Mus musculus: one gene and its partners. Each later gene encodes a partner of the first gene's protein in a complex. Links are inferred from orthologs where the notes say so. Each region holds a gene or a part of one and is shown on either strand. Other genes may lie near its edges. The genes, in order: Apool, Chchd3, Chchd6 and Micos13.

The links.
Region 2: Apool (region 1) and Chchd3 share a complex: the UniProt entries of both Homo sapiens proteins name them as parts of the mitochondrial contact site and cristae organizing system (MICOS) complex. The link is inferred for Mus musculus from reciprocal best matches to the Homo sapiens genes APOOL and CHCHD3.
Region 3: Apool (region 1) and Chchd6 share a complex: the UniProt entries of both Homo sapiens proteins name them as parts of the mitochondrial contact site and cristae organizing system (MICOS) complex. The link is inferred for Mus musculus from reciprocal best matches to the Homo sapiens genes APOOL and CHCHD6.
Region 4: Apool (region 1) and Micos13 share a complex: the UniProt entries of both Homo sapiens proteins name them as parts of the mitochondrial contact site and cristae organizing system (MICOS) complex. The link is inferred for Mus musculus from reciprocal best matches to the Homo sapiens genes APOOL and MICOS13.

Annotation. Positions count from the first base shown.
Region 1 is NC_000086.7:112,310,076-112,314,193, forward strand, and holds the start of Apool (MICOS complex subunit Mic27 isoform 1 precursor), read left to right. Parts: upstream 1-1,276; 5' UTR 1,277-1,346; coding exon 1,347-1,361; intron 1,362-4,118. UniProt on the Homo sapiens protein: Component of the MICOS complex, a large protein complex of the mitochondrial inner membrane that plays crucial roles in the maintenance of crista junctions, inner membrane architecture, and formation of contact sites to the outer membrane.
Region 2 is NC_000072.6:32,801,719-32,805,282, reverse strand, and holds part of Chchd3 (MICOS complex subunit Mic19), read left to right. Parts: intron 1-1,257; coding exon 1,258-1,393; intron 1,394-3,564. UniProt on the Homo sapiens protein: Component of the MICOS complex, a large protein complex of the mitochondrial inner membrane that plays crucial roles in the maintenance of crista junctions, inner membrane architecture, and formation of contact sites to the outer membrane.
Region 3 is NC_000072.6:89,382,633-89,386,196, reverse strand, and holds the end of Chchd6 (MICOS complex subunit Mic25), read left to right. Parts: intron 1-1,457; coding exon 1,458-1,593; intron 1,594-2,848; coding exon 2,849-2,854; 3' UTR 2,855-3,051; downstream 3,052-3,564. UniProt on the Homo sapiens protein: Component of the MICOS complex, a large protein complex of the mitochondrial inner membrane that plays crucial roles in the maintenance of crista junctions, inner membrane architecture, and formation of contact sites to the outer membrane.
Region 4 is NC_000083.6:56,606,968-56,611,219, reverse strand, and holds Micos13 (MICOS complex subunit MIC13 precursor), read left to right. Parts: upstream 1-1,448; 5' UTR 1,449-1,551; coding exon 1,552-1,580; intron 1,581-2,196; coding exon 2,197-2,374; intron 2,375-2,527; coding exon 2,528-2,582; intron 2,583-3,378; coding exon 3,379-3,476; 3' UTR 3,477-3,768; downstream 3,769-4,252. UniProt on the Homo sapiens protein: Component of the MICOS complex, a large protein complex of the mitochondrial inner membrane that plays crucial roles in the maintenance of crista junctions, inner membrane architecture, and formation of contact sites to the outer membrane.

The DNA of each region.
Region 1 (4,118 bases):
GCTTAGTATATAGTTTACACTTAAATATTTATTAAATGAATAAGTGAATGCAGTTACCTAATACTGTGAAGTTAATGGGAACATAAATGGACACTCTTTGTCTCCGAATTATTCACAGAGGCCTCAGGGAGCCTGTACCCTTACAGAGAATAATATACCTCCTCACAATCTAGTCTCCTGGGAACATCATAATCATCATTTTATAATGTATTTTAGATCAAGTCACACCAATGCTAAAAGCCTTCCAATTACATTTCTTTTTATTCTTTTTTAATTAGGAATTTCCATATAATATATTCTGATCACAGTTTTCCCTCCCTCATGTCCTCCCAGATTCTGCCACCTCTGACCCCGACTCCATGCCTTCATCTTTGGAATACAAACAGGCAACTAAAAAAAAAAAGGATAAAACAAAACAAAAGCAAACAATCCACACTAGTTATAGTGACACAGAGAGCCCCTGTTGTGGTATGTTTGTTTTTTCATTGTTGGGACCTACCACTCTCTGTTCCTGATATTACTTTTGCATAGACCACTTGCCTATATTCCTCATGACTTTCTTCAAATCACCCTATCAGCGCCTTCTATCTGTATGAACTAGAAAACTCCATTCCTTCTCAACAGATAGCTTCTACTTTTACACTTTTAATACATTTTATTTACTCTCTCTCTCTCTCTCTCTCTCTCTCTCTCTCTCTCTGTGTGTGTGTGTGTGTGTGTGTGTGTGTGTGTGTGTGTGTGAAATTTAGGCCATCCGGCTTGTCAGCCAGTAAGTACTTCTTACAAGCTGAACCGTCTTGTCAAGGTTCTGTTTTCTTGAATAGTGTTGAGGCCTTTCTAAAATTTTTTTGTCATTTTCTCTTGGTGCTGTATGTAGGTTTTGTAGTGTACTGTGAGCAACTTCCTGACAGAATTGGTGTTTAGTGACAGTTCTAGAATGAATGTAATTGAATTGCCTCAAGGATTGCAGTGGTGACCTGCTCTTGTGACAGACTATATGGTTGTTTATTAAGGCAGTTGAGTTTTAAGTTCTTATCTAGACAAATCCCGTAAACACCCAGTCATTCACCCAAGAAAACAATTTCTAATTGGAGTGTGGAGACTATTCTTAGAGGTTAGATGTATGAGGACTGGAATGTCAACCGCAAAGATAGGCCCTTTGCTCTGAAGAAGTGCTAACCAATTGACTTTGGCGCCTACAAAAGCAATGGCAGGAGGGCGGGGAAAGGGCAGGGCCAGCGGGCTCCTAGCGTAAAGGGGCGGGGCTATGGTGACGCAAGGCAAAGTGAACTGCTTTGTCCCTCTGCGCTCTCCGTCTGAAAACTTGAGCCGAGAGGGTCATAGGTATGGCGGCCTTTAGGGTAAGTGAAAAGAAACTTAGTTTTCCACTCCCCGCTCGCTCTGAGCCCAAGCATTACAATAATTATAGAAGGGACCGTCTATCGTAACTCATGGAGGGAGCCCCTCAGCAAGTGGCGACCTGGAGATGAGACTATGAGGATCGGAGTCTTTAATCTTTGCAGTCTCAACAAACCTCCCTCGCCTTCTCCTTAATCCCTGCGGGTAACTGTTTACACCGCGGGGCTTTAGTCCCGCAACCCGCTGAGTGAGTGATGAGGAAGGCCTGGCCACTCGCCTCTCTGGAGAAGGAAAACAAAACAAAAGGAAACAAAACAAAACAAAAGTTTGGCGCTGTCTTGGTGTGCAGGGCGGGGCTCCCAGACCGGGACATAAGACTTCCTTCAAAAATTAGCTGTGGGCAAAACAGACAAAAGTAGAGATTTCTCAGAATCTGTGTTGTGAGTGGGATTATACATAGTGTTATTCCCCGTCGAATAACCAGTTTCTTTGGAGTTTTATGAGAAAAGGTGCTTTTGTGTAGAAATCGGGGGTAAAGGAAACAAGTCAGCCGACTCGGGTTTCAACATCAGTTTACAAATACTTAACGCATGTATTTTTTTTTAAAGGTATGTAATGACTCTGTTAGGCTTGAAGGCTATAAGATTGTTATTAATTCAATCAGAGGACATTGACTTTTAATATTTCCCATTCTTCACTGCATTTCTCTAGTTTGGGACCTCATACTTTCTTTCAAACTACGGACCATTCTCTTAACTGGACTCTACCCACTCCATTGCTCTGATGGAATCCATTTTCTCCTGTGCTGCCATAGTACTTATATCAAAATGAGACTCTGCCCTGCTACTTTAAAGCCTTTATAGGCACTCCATTATCAGCTCTCAGGGGTCAGGTTACCCTTCTAGATAACAACACTTCACCTAGCCTCTGCACTCCAGCTTCCTCTCCTGTCACCCAAGAACCCTCTCCTGTGTACTTAACTTCCTACTTTATCTCTTCATGCCCCATTTACCTGCTCTTTCTGCAATTCCTAAAGTGCCCTTGCCCATTCTTATTTAATTTCTAGCATGCACGTCTGACCAACCTTTTGATAATGCAACCCCACCTGACCTCTACAAAGTTTATCCTGGAGAATCACAATCAAGTTACCAAAAAAAAAAAAAAAAAAAAAGCCCCAAATAATATTTTTACAATGTTTAAATAGTTTACAATTTTGTATTGGGTAGGGTGTGGTGTGTAGGCCATTGGTAGGAGATGCTTGCTTCTTTTGGTAAACACAGAATGGCTCTTCTAAGTGTGTGTCCTTGACAACTGTACTGATCCACATGAGAAAGTTTTTGATTAATTAATTAAAACTTTTAAGTCCTTTCTTGGTGGCCAAATCACGAGCAGGGCTGTGGTTCTGAAAAGTTTCTTGGTCCCCAAGTTCAGAAATACACAGTTTTGAAATCAAAACCCAGAAAGATGCATCAAAGTTAGATGAAGGTCAGAGTAGCCATGAAACATTTATCCCTGGTAGAACATAGTAGTTACTTTAGATATAACTTGCCAATTATTTTGGCTAATACATCTGGCCAATGGTCAAAGCTGTGGAAGTCTCACATGTGTTGCCAAGGCATATGTGACCACTGGGGGAATCAGATAAAGGGCTGAGAATTATTTAATCGAACATAAAATGGAGTCAGAAGAGGATGGTGTCACCTTAGTCATTTCATTTCCCAATTTTTATTTTAAAGTTATTGTTAAATTTTTGATCTTGACCAAGTGATAAATACTAGTTCCTGAGTATCATTAGCCTAACTGAGGAAATTTTCTATCTGATGAACTTTAAAAGACCATTTATTATATAAGGCTCTATAGCAAGTCTCATAATAAGGGGGAGTAAGGGACCAGGCAAAACAATGAAAAGTATTGTGAGCCATGGGTTTTAATAGTTTTCTGGTACCAGAAATTATTTCATTCATGTTTTTGATTTAAAATAATTTTTGTAAAGTTTTTTTTTTCTTAAATGATAATGTTTGATTTGTTAGTACAGAAGCAACAAGTCTCCCTTACTGTCACACAACCTCTCCTGGTTTGGAGAACTGTTTCTGTCAGAGACTCTATCTGACCATGGCATGTGTTAAAGGAGAATCTGAAGGTGCCTGGTGTCTATCTGCTTGACAAATTATCTGTTGTAGGCTCTCTCTTTTTTCTGATTAGAGCCATAGTGTACACGGCTACTGCCTATCTATCATCATTGGAAAACTGAAAGGGGTAGCCCCCTGTACGTCTGGTTGGCATATATTTCCAATTGTGCTCATGGCGGAGGATACAACTCGAGACAGTGGCTGCTCAAGTGCTATTAGCAAGGTGAGATGCATGGTCTAGGCGATTTCTCCAAATAATTGTTTAGATTTCCTAAGGAAACTGACTTTAGGGCTAAAGTTTATTCCAGATTCCCGATTCTGGGCCACCCTTGATGAAGTGTTGTCACTTCTGGTTTTGATCCCAGGTCAGTTCTCAAACCACCCCAACCCAGCATCTTAGAATTTGCTTATTGACCTCCGAAAGGCTTATTACCTTAAGCTGCTGTCTTCTGTATATCCTGGTATCCATTGTACTTTCACCAGCTGTTTGAAGATTAAATATTTTGCAGTTTTAATGCCAAGTCCTGGCTCTGAGTTGCTTCTACAGCAGCTCCTGCAAACTATCAGTTGTGCCCAGGAGCACCAACAGCAATCATGAGAGCTGTCCATCCAGAAGGTCAGCACAAACCA
Region 2 (3,564 bases), on another chromosome or scaffold:
GCTTATTGATGGGAAATATTCCCCCATGTTCTCTGAGGCTTTTGTTTTTAGAACCCATTAAACTTAAAATAATGCTACCTCAGGACTATATGGAAATACCAAATTTAAATTTCAGAGACAGAACTGATAAGATTGGAAGCATTTTTTTATTAAACAAACTAATTTTTTTAAATATACAAATTCATATATTAATGATTGTTTTGCATATTTCCTCTCTCTGTGGTTAGTCTTTGTACCTTGAGTTCTGCTGCCATACAAACAAGAATATTTTCTGTGTGTAATTTATTTGACTTATTATTTTCAAATGTGTATTATAAATTGTGTGGAAACATTTATGTTTGGCATGCCATTCTCATGGAGAGAAATTCTACTAAAATCTGAGCGTTGTAAATACAACTGCAGAAGTTTAACCTGGAAGATTTTTAGATGTTTGCCCTTTTTTTTCCCCCATTCAAGAAGCTTATTGTATGACTTCTATAAAAATTATCCACGGTGAATAGTAAAGGTCACAAAACAAGACATAATTCCTTGGAATTTACATTCTAATAAATGTAGGCAGGTGAATTGCACTAGATTATTGCATAGTCCATGACATGGGCAGCGCAAAATGCTAGCACAGGGTCACCTTAAAGGAGGAGAAAACCAGGGAGAGTTGTTCAAAGAAGGTTATATGAGCTACGCTTTGAAAGATGTGTAGTGATTTTCAGTTACATGGGAAGGGTGGGAATTTGGGTGCCAAGTATTTTCTAGCTTGTGACCACAGATGTGAGATCCGTAACTGGCCCCTAAGTATGATTTACTCAGGCTGCAGCAATATTCAGGGTCCAACAAGGGCTAAAGGCAGGCAGGAGCCTGATCATATCTCTGCTACCCTTGTACTTTATAGCAATATAGAGAGTCTGACTTGAATCGATGGATTTACAAGGAACTCTCTAGATGACCTGTAGATGCAGGGAGAGGGCTGGGACTATAGACACACAGACCAGAGGTCATTGCTTGGATCTAGGAAGTATTTTGAATTTTTGTAATAATGGTGAGTATGGAAGATTAGACTGCAAGGACCAGATCTTCATGGCCTGCTGGCCATGGGTATGCCAGAAGAAGTTGGGACTGGCAGATTTCTGACTTGCCAGACCAGGCTGTAGAAAAAGAGCACTGGTGTTATTTGTAGGACCTCGGCTTATGTTTTACATAACTTTTAACCTTGACCATTAATGGGGATGCCTTGTCTCAATTATCCTCATTTTTTGTTTCCAGGCGGTATGAATATCATCCAGTCTGTGCAGATCTGCAGACCAAAATCCTCCAGTGTTACCGTCAGAACACCCAGCAGACTCTCAGCTGCTCTGCTCTGGCTAGCCAATACATGCACTGTGTCAACCATGCCAAACAGGTGGGTGTGCAAGCTGACTGGGGCACCTGAAAAGTAGAAAGCCCAGTCATCCCAGTGGGTGGGAAACTTTCTCAACTCATCTAGAATCTCTTAAATCATGTTTTGGCCATAAGCTCTATCCAGTTCACTGTCAGAAGAGTCCAGATTCTAGGTAGGCCTAGTGGCTTAGGCCCGTGATCCCAGCTGCTGAAAAGACTGGGCAGGGCAACTTCAAGTTCAGGGGCAGCTACAGAGCGAGTTCAAGGACAATCTGGACAATGTCATGAGACCGTGTCTCAAAGTAAAAGTAGGAATGGATGTGCAACTCAGTGGTAGGGTGCTTGCCTAACATGCTCAAGGCCCTGGGTTCAAGCTCTCCTGAACTCTCCTTGGATTTATGTGCAGGAGCAGAAATATATTTAAAAATATGCTTAATTGCTCTAAACCTTTCACTTTCTAATGGTCCCAGTGGTCTTATCCTCATGGTCATTACCTCACATCCCTAAACAGCACTGTCCAAACTATGGATGAAGGCTATAAACTAAGAAGCAAGCACACTAGGAGTTCGTAAGTAGTAGGAGGTCTCACAGGATTAAGAGAAATCTACTCATCTGTTACTGTCTTAGTCAGGGTTTCTATTCCTGCACAAACATCATGACCAAGAAGCAAGTTGGGGAGGAAAGGGTTTATTCGGCTTACACTTCCATACTGCTGTTCATCAACAAGGAAGTCAGGACTGGAACTCAAGCAGGTCAGAAAGCAGGAGCCGATGCAGAGGCCATGGAGGGATGTTCTTTACTGGCTTGCCTCCCCTGGCTTGCTCAGCCTGCTCTCTTATAGAACCCAAGACTACCAGCCCAGAGATGGTCCCACCCACAAGGGGCCTTTCCCCCTTGATCACTAATTGAGAAAATGTCTTACAGCTGGATCTCATGGAGGCATTTCCTCAACTGAAGCTCCTTTCTCTGTGATAACCCCAGCTGTGTCAAGTTGACACAAAACTAGCCAGTACACTAACCATTCCTCCACCAGTTAGTAGAGGCTATTATTTAAGCTGGAGAAAGAACCTGAGTCATACTTAGGAAAGGCTTTCCTCCTTCTGCATGCTTCACTTGACCCTTTATGACTGCATAATATGACACTCATAAGATGCATATTTTCTCTAATTTATGTGCTTTAGAAAGCTAATGATATCCCAACAACAAATTAACAGTCTCAACAGGTCACACAATTACTTTACAGTTGGGTACATGGGATTTGAAGAGACACAAGTTGTTGGAAACTCAGTTCTTTCTGCTGATGAACTCCCTAGAGTTGACCTCGCCCATCTCAATCTAGCAGTTGAGTTATACAGCATGCCTTTCCACAGCCCAGTTTGCTCCTGTTATAATAATACCACTTAGTGTAAATCTCCAGTACTGCATAAATATCTGAAGGGAGGGTACTATTGTCTGGGTATCTTGGAAATAACAGTAACATTAAGTAGAAAAAATGTAATCAAGATTAAAAACCTGTGTTTTCTTGACACGCCTCATCCCTTGCTTGCAGCCACACTTGTATAGCTGAGTATCTGCCAGGGTTCTTTAAAGGTCTTGCTAGAGGTAAAGCTACTGATGTTAGGGTAGTGTGTGTTGTTTGTCACAGAATCCTCTGATGAGCTCTTAGCAAGCCTGCAGCCTTCAACAGCAACCACCTGAGCCCTTGGGACTTGTAGACTGACTCGTGGATTTTTCTAATGTGATAATAAAGACTTGTGGAGTTGGACTGCGTCATTGATAGAAAGGTGATTGTGTCACCGTGCGTGTTTCTGGAGTGGTGTCTGACACAAAGTGTCTTATTTCCAGTGTGCTTTCTGCTGTCGATGAAGTGGCAACACTGAAGGTCTTGGAGCATTGGCTCCGGCCACTCTGCCTGGTGAGGTCATGTTGAATCACATTTAGTGCTGTGGTGTCCTGTTTATGGAATAAAAGAAAAGCGATTATTGCAACAAGGTCACATATGACACATGGTACTGTAGAGGGGAGAATCTGGCAGGCCTGGGTTTGGAACCAAGCCCTATCTTTTAGGTCTCTGGCCTTGAGCCTTGGTTTCTCTTATTAGTGAATTGGGTCATGATGTGATGATTCCAGTATTAAGTACGCCTTTGTTTTTCCCGAATTCAGGATCATCATTTAGGAAAGCTATGAAATTAA
Region 3 (3,564 bases), on another chromosome or scaffold:
CCATTCAGACCCCTGGGCTGGGCATAAGGCATTGCAGACTTACATCCTAAGCCCCTCATTACTTTGCTGCTGGTTCTCCTTAACTGATGACTTTCACTTGGTTGAATTATCTTGATAACAGCACTCTCCCCTCTGGTGTCTGCTGCATGGCTGACACTCTCAATTCAGAGGTGCTGGGCAGGAGAACAGCAAGCTGGCCTGGAACACAGCTTGCAGAATACCCATCCTTTTTATTGCCAAAGAATGTGAGGAATGGCTCACTGCAGCTTTATAACTGTCAGGTGTCACTACAAGTTCACCACAGCTGTTACAAACATGGGGGAGCTTTGGCGAAAACCCATCTGGAAAGCTGATGGGTAGATGGCACCACCACAATGTCAATAAATATGCCCTCCCCATACACTGGCTCTGTGGTGTAACTTCTCCATACCACAGTTTTCTCATGGGGAGAAGGAGGTAGGGAAGAATAAATACCATGCACCCACAGAGTGGGGAGAGGTAATAGGGGGATGTTTTCGCCAGTGTGCTGCTGTGTGAGCTACTGGGGTGGGGTGCAGGAGAGTAAGTGTGCAGAGGACCCTGAGTAAAGGTGTTAAAGGTTGAGTGTAAAAGAATGGGTGCGGGGAGTGTGTAGATGTGGGAGGGGTGTGAGTGAGTGCATGCAAGTGGGGGGACTCTGGGATCATAGGAGAATGGGTGTGTGAGGGGGTGTGGGAGTGTGCGTAAGGTGCGTGAAAGTATGTGTAGCTATGTGTGTGTGAGTTGTGGGAGCACTGGATATGTGACAGTGGGGGAGGCAGGGGAAGAGAGCTTACGTGGAACAAAAAGGCATCTGGTAGTGGTCCTGTCAAAGGTGGCCCCAGGGATCTGGGAGGGACACCTGTAACTGTGTAATCTGTTGTTTACTTTTTTATCACTTGTTTTGCATCATAATAGTAGAAAGTCAGCATATTCATTTGTTGTACATTCTGAAACTCTTTTGATAAAAGAAGAAAGAAAATATAGTAAAATGCCTCAACACATCACTACAAACTATCTCTAAGATGTGTATTTTTGTTTTTTTGGATATCTCTGTAGGTTTTTCTGTGTCACAGTAGTAAAATTAGAACAAGGATTTGGGAGGAAGTGGCATTCCTGTCTCACATGGCTGTGGTACCAGGTCAACAATGCACTGAAAACCCCTTGGACAGAGCCTGACCCAGCTGCCACCAGGCCCCTCACCCTTCCTGGTGACACTGGGGACTCATGGCAGCAGCCAGTCAGCATACAGCCCTATACCCCAGCCCATTCAGTATTGGCCACTGGCCAGAAGACCAGACCCTGCACTCCTCACTTGTGGAGTGAGCTGGCACATGGATAGACATCCAGAGCTTATCTAGTGTCTTTCTGGGTGTTGAGTGTGAGTTCTTGCCTCTCATGCCTTCTAATACCAGCCATCTGTTCTTATCGTCCCCCAGGCCCCGCAGAGTGGAGCCTGTGTGCTCTGGCCTACAAGCCCAGATCCTCCGCTGTTACCGGGACCATCTGCATGAAGTGCTTCTGTGCTCGGACCTGGTCAAGGCATACCAGCACTGTGTGAGCACTGCCCGCAAGGTGAGGCCACCTGCCTTAGTGTGTATGCCTGGGCCCCTGCATTTAGACGTCCCATCCTCAACCTTGCTCAGAACCATTTCTCACCACTTTTGGGACCCCAAACATGTCCGTGGGAGTAGTATCTCCTGTGCTCCTCTTCCTGGCTAGGCTTATGTAATCTGTCCACCTTCCTGGAACAAGTAGCAAACTTCTCACCTTTCAGCAGAGGGGCTGAGAAAAGGACTATCCAGTTATACCCCTAGCCTTCCTTGACAGAAACAGCTTTAAGCCTTGTTCCATCCACCCTGTGTCGGTGGCCATTTTCAGTCCCTGTGCCCCCTTAGTGTATCCCACCAGTGTACCTTCATTGCACTGAGTAAAAACCTGGAAAAGGTGTACTGATGATATTGGACAGACTGCAGGAAGTTCCAGTGTGTCTCTGTCACTACACATGCCTAAAAGAGGCTTGTGACTTTTCAGGCTCTCCTTCCTGGCCCCACACCTAAAGCTCCTGGAAACATCAGAGGCCAGCTGGGCCCTCAAGCCACCTCTAAACCATGCATGCAGTCTGGCACAGTGTGGGCCTCAGCACCCAGACTCACAGGGCACCCTGTGACCAAGATGTCCTACTGGAAAAACTTGGTGCCCTCTGCCAGCTGCACAGAACATGGTCCCTGGCAGAAGTGAGATAGGAATGAAGAATCCTCAGGAAAGATGTGCTTCCAAAAGCAGTTAGATGGCAGAAGCATTCCTGTCCAGCTCAGGACACCTGAGGGCTTTCCTCTAGGTATAGAGCTATAAACCTGCCTGGAGGTATGCAGAGCTCCCTAGAGCAGGAACCTGATTGCATAGTTGCATTCTCCCAGTGCATCTCTTGGAAAATCCCTACTTGTTAAGCTAGAGAACAGGGAGGACCTTACTTAGGTAGAGCAGAAGTGGGCAAGGCTGCACTAGGCCAGGGTGGGGGTTAGCCATACCACTGTAAGAGCAGAGAAGGGAGCTGGGCCCCTGGGGATAAAGAGGTGGTGCTGGCTATTATTGCTGCAGAACGTGTTAAGTAAGAGCCTATGTCCTGCTCAACAGTGGGGAGAGACCCAGTCTAGGTCTCAGGCCAGCTAACTGACTCATAGCCAGTTATACTGCAGGGAAATGGCCACTATCCAGTGCAGTCTGCAGGAGCCTGGAAATCATGAGGCTGAGGTCTCTTACAGCCCGGGCCTGGGCCATCTCTGGGGATGAAGAGGGCTCAGCTGAACTCTGGCTGTTCTCTTTGAAGGGCTGAGGAGCAGCATCCTTCCTGGAGCCTTGAAGAAGGGACCGATCATAGGACCACAGACCATGGCCCCCAGGCCCTGCAGTCTCTAACTGAGCACCCATATGCCTCTGAGTGTGGGGCTGCCATGCTCGAGAAACAGTATGTGCTACTGATTGAAAACAAATAAAGCAGATGTCTTTGTTTGCAGTCATTCACTCATTGGCACCCAGTCACTTCTGTTGACTCTTTGTCCAGCCGTCTGTTGGTCACCAGTGACACAGAGCCTCACAGGACAGACTGCTTCTCTGGGGGAATACTAGGCCTGGCAGGGGATAGCATGGAAACCCATAACTACATGGCCACACAAAAGCCACCGTGGATCAAGTATGAGAGGAAAGAAGAGAAGTGGTGTTTTGGGGGGATGGTGCCAGCATCCAGAAGGACCTTCTGTTTACTCTTAGGAAGACTGGTGGGTAATTGCAGGACAGAGCAGAGCCATGAGGAGTGGGCCCCAGGTAAGGAGGAGCAAGGTGCTCTGTAGCTAAGGGGGCAGTGGGCGTGAGAAGAAAGGGAAGTTGGGAAAGGGGCATCTGGGCTGGGAAAGCCAGGCCTTGAGCAGAGGCAGTGCTGTTCAGGCACCTGGAGCCATGTCATTCTCTCACAGGAGGGGCAGACTGAGGTAGGGCCATGCCAGAGAGCACTGTGGTCTGCACTGCCCAGGAGAAGGAAGCCACCCT
Region 4 (4,252 bases), on another chromosome or scaffold:
TGTCTAAGCGCTACTGGCAATGCCACATGCTACCTTGCCATGTTCTAGGCTCCTCTCACCCATTCTTAGTCATGAGGGTTGGTTTATTTTAGTTCTGGGTGAAAAGGAGAAAATGTCACCATAGACACTGGACATGTCTGTAAAAGCAGGAATGAGGAGGCCCAGGCAGGAGAATTCAGCTTTGGTCCATATGAGTTCCAGACCAATCACGTACAAAGAATAAGACCCCGTCTAAAAAAGAAAAAAACCCACAAAGCTGGGTGATGGTGGAACACACTTTAATACCAACACTTAAGAGGCAGATGCAGGCAGAGCTGTGAGTTCGAGGCCAGCCTGGGCCACAAAGTGAGTTCCAGGACAGCCAGGACTGTTAGACAAACCTTGCCTCAAAACAAGCAAGCAAACAATAACCAACCAAAGGCAAACCAAACCAAACCCAACACAAAAATAAGTAATAAAGAAATAAAGTTGTGTGTGGGGGGGGTCTTGTGTATGGTTGAATCGGAATGACCCCTACAGTTTCATGTATTTGAATGCTTGGTCCCCATTTGGTAGAACTGTTTGGCAAGGATTAGGAGATAAGTTTTCTTGGGGCAGGGGTGACAGTGGTGTGGACTTTAAGGTTTCAAAAGCCCACACAATACCCTGTAGTCTCTTTCAGCTTATGAGCCACAATGTAAGCTCTCAGCTGCTGCTCCAGCGCCATCCCGGTTTGCCTGCTGTCATGCTCCGCGTTACGATGGTCATGGTCCTCTGAAACTGGAAGCAGAAAACTTTTCCTTCTATTGAGTTGCCTTGGCCATGGTGCTTTGTCAGGACAACTGAGAAGTAATTAGGACAATAGGTCTCCATAGACAATTACAAGGCATCCATGCATCCATGGTGCACATCTGCTCAAGCTCACCTTGCAACCGAACAGGGATCTACATGATGTCCACTTGGCCGCTAACCCCTCCTGCGGCACTTCGCACCCCAGTGTGGCTCCTTGTACTCCGGACCACCCACCGCCAACCCGTTCTCACATGACCCCAAGACTTCTACCCGGCAGGGATCCTCCAGCGCCTTGGCCTTGGCAAGTCAACAACCTTGGCAAGCGTCCATCTCACAGGCCATCTGTAGCCTCTCCAAGCTTCCTAGGTTAGAGCCACACCCCTAACCGCTCACGTGAACCAAAGGCCTGCTTCTCTGGAACAATCCAGCCCTCGCGTTGCCGTGGTAACCATCACTTAGGCTTGCTTCACCTGGGGGACACTCAATTCTCCGCGCGGGCGCGGGGAATCCGACCAGTGTCTTCCGAGGGCTCGTCTCTGTCGTGCCTCCAGACTACATTTCCCAGGAGCCTTCGCGGCCTAGCCCTTCTTTGGTCTTCCGCCTAACTAATACATTTCCCAGAAAGAATTGCGGCAGCCACGGACCTCGACCTACAAGAGTCTAACTCCATTGCGGCTGACAGCGACCACTACATTTCCCAGGAGTCTCAGCAGCGACACCAACCGGAAGCGGCGGGCGAATTACTTGTCCTTGCGCGGCGAGTGAAGCGAGAGACTAACCATGGTGGCTCGAGTGTGGTCGCTAATGAGGTGCGTGGACAATCGTGGAGGCCCTGAGAAAGTTCGGGGCTGTAGGCATCTCTGCCTCGTGGCTTAGGGTCCTGCGACGGCTCACTTCCGGTTGTTACGGACCTTTCTCACGGTCTGTGTAGGGAAACTGGCTTCAGCCAGCCCTTATCACCCTACTGCTTCAATTTACTCTTAGGTGCAATTCAGATGCGTAGGCAATCCTGCCCATCTCCCTCCGTAGCTGACTTGAGTAACTTGCGGGGAAGCTCCGCCAGACACCCTGGAAGGTTTTGTACCAGGGATCTTGAGTGTCCATTATCCTTTGCAGGGTTTCGAATGACCCACCCTGTCTCTCTTTAAGACTCCGTTTACTGCTAAAAGTCGTGTCACAAAGGCAAATGAAATGATCAACTGGCCGGGAGTGGTGGCACACGCCTTTAATCCCAGCACTTAGGAGGCAGAGGCAGTCGGATTTCTGAGTTCGAGGCCAGCCAGGTCTACAGAGTGAGTTCCAGGACAGCCAGGGCTACACAGAAACCCTGTCTCGAAAAACAAAACAACAACAACAAAAAATGATCAACTGTCTGATCTCTGAGATCCTGCCCCCCACAGCGTCTCCCTTCATGTATTCCTGAAGGTTCCTCATTAAGGGAAGTGTGGCTGGAGGAGCAGTCTACCTTGTTTATGACCAGGAGCTGCTGGGGCCTAGTGACAAGAGTGAGGCTGCCCTGCGGAAGGCCGAGGAGGTTGTGCCACCAGCAATGTACCAGTTCAGCCAATATGTGTGCCAGCAGACAGGTCTGGAGATGCCACAGGTACCTTGGCTGGGAGTGGGTGGCCTACAGGTTGCTTCTGGGTGTCCTTGGGGCCTCCTCCACCCCTGCTTGGTGGAGTTTTGTGTTTCTGGGTTTGGGAGACAAGGCTGTGACCTGTTTCCCGTGTCAGCCCGTGTTCCTCTTTCTTCCCAGCTCCCAACCCCTCCAAAGATTAAATTTCCAAACTTCCGTGATTCCTGGAACTCAGGTAGGCCCCTATGCCCCTGCTTGGGGGGATGCCTGGGCACCCCAGCCTCTCTCCCAGCCCTGTTTACCTCATTGACCCTTTCTACTCCTCCATGTTTTCCTGTTTGTGTGCCTGTATATCACCTATGGAACTAAGTAGAAAGGACTGGGTATGGTGGCCCATGATTGTGACTTTAGTATTTGGGAGGCCGAGGCAGGAAAATTGTAGTTTCAAGGCCAGCTTGATCTATAGCCAGGACTACACAGGGACATCCTTTCTCAAAAATAGGAAAAACAAAATACTTAAAAAAACCCTAAGGGGTTGGGGTTGTAGATCAGTGGTAAAGATCTTTCCTAGCATGCATAAAGCTCTGGGTCCTGTCGTCAGCACCCCATAAATCAGGCATGGTGTTTGTAGGTCTGTCATCTCAGCACTCAGTGCAGGCAAGAGAATGAAGGATTTCAGGGTCATCTTTGACTACATAGGGAATTCCAGGCCATATGGGATATATGAGACCTTGTCTCCACAAAGAAAAGCTGGATATTGTTATACACACCTATAATCTCAGCACTGGGAAGAGCTGAGGCAGAAGGACTGAGAGTTTGAGGATAACCTTGGAATATATTAGTGAGATGAAACCTTTTAAAACAGAGCATAGGGAAGGGGTTGTGGTTTAGATCCACACTGGAACTTGTCCATCAGGAAAGGCTAGTCCCATTCCTCCTCCATGTACTGCTCTTGCACTCCCCAGGGGTTGGCTGGCTGAGTGGCTCTGGCAAGGTGGGGACCTTATGGCACCTGTGTGCTGTCTCTGCAGGCATCATCTCAGTCATGTCAGCCTTGTCGGTGGCCCCCTCCAAGGCCCGAGAATACTCCAAGGAGGGCTGGGAGTACCTCAAGGAACACAGCAAGTAATGGATGCCACCTGCCCCAGCATTATGGGGGTCAAGACCAGGATGGCAGAGACATCCCAGTGGGGACCTCACTCTGAGGGCAGCTTCCAGCATTGCTGGCCCAATAAAGGACTTGGGAATGGTCCCCAGCCGGTTTTCTGGTGGGGGGGGGATGTAGAGCCTTTGCTTTATGGGCAGAGTCCTGGCTAACAGGGATCTCTATGTTCCAGATGTAATGTTTGGAGCCCAGAAAGATTTTAGTTTTAGTTTTTTGTTTTAACTTTTAAAAATTTTGTGTGATAAAAACCATGACCAGAAGTAGCTTGGATAGGAAAGGGTTTATTTCAGCTTGTTACTCTCAGGTCATTCTCCATCACTAAGGGAAGTTAGGGCAGGAATCTGGAGGCAGGACTGAAGTAGAGGCCATGGAAAATTAGTTTATAGGCTTGTTCTCCATGGTTTGCTCAGCCTGCTTTCTAATAACACCCAGGACCACCTACCCATAGTCATCAATCAAGAAAGTGTCCCACAGTCCAATCTGACGGAGGCATTTTCTTAACTTAGTGCTTGTGTGGGTGTGCTTGTATATACACACTGGCACTGTCTGTTGTGAGCTCTCCATCATGGGTGCTAGGATCTGAACTAGCCATGGAACCATTCTTCCAGCCTGTACAATGGAGTAGGTACTGTGGTGCGGGGAGCCTGGACTTGGGGCCCTTAATAGGGGCTTCACTTGCAGTGGACCAGTTCTTTTTGACAGCCCCATTGCCCAAACTAGTCACAGCCACTCAGGACTCC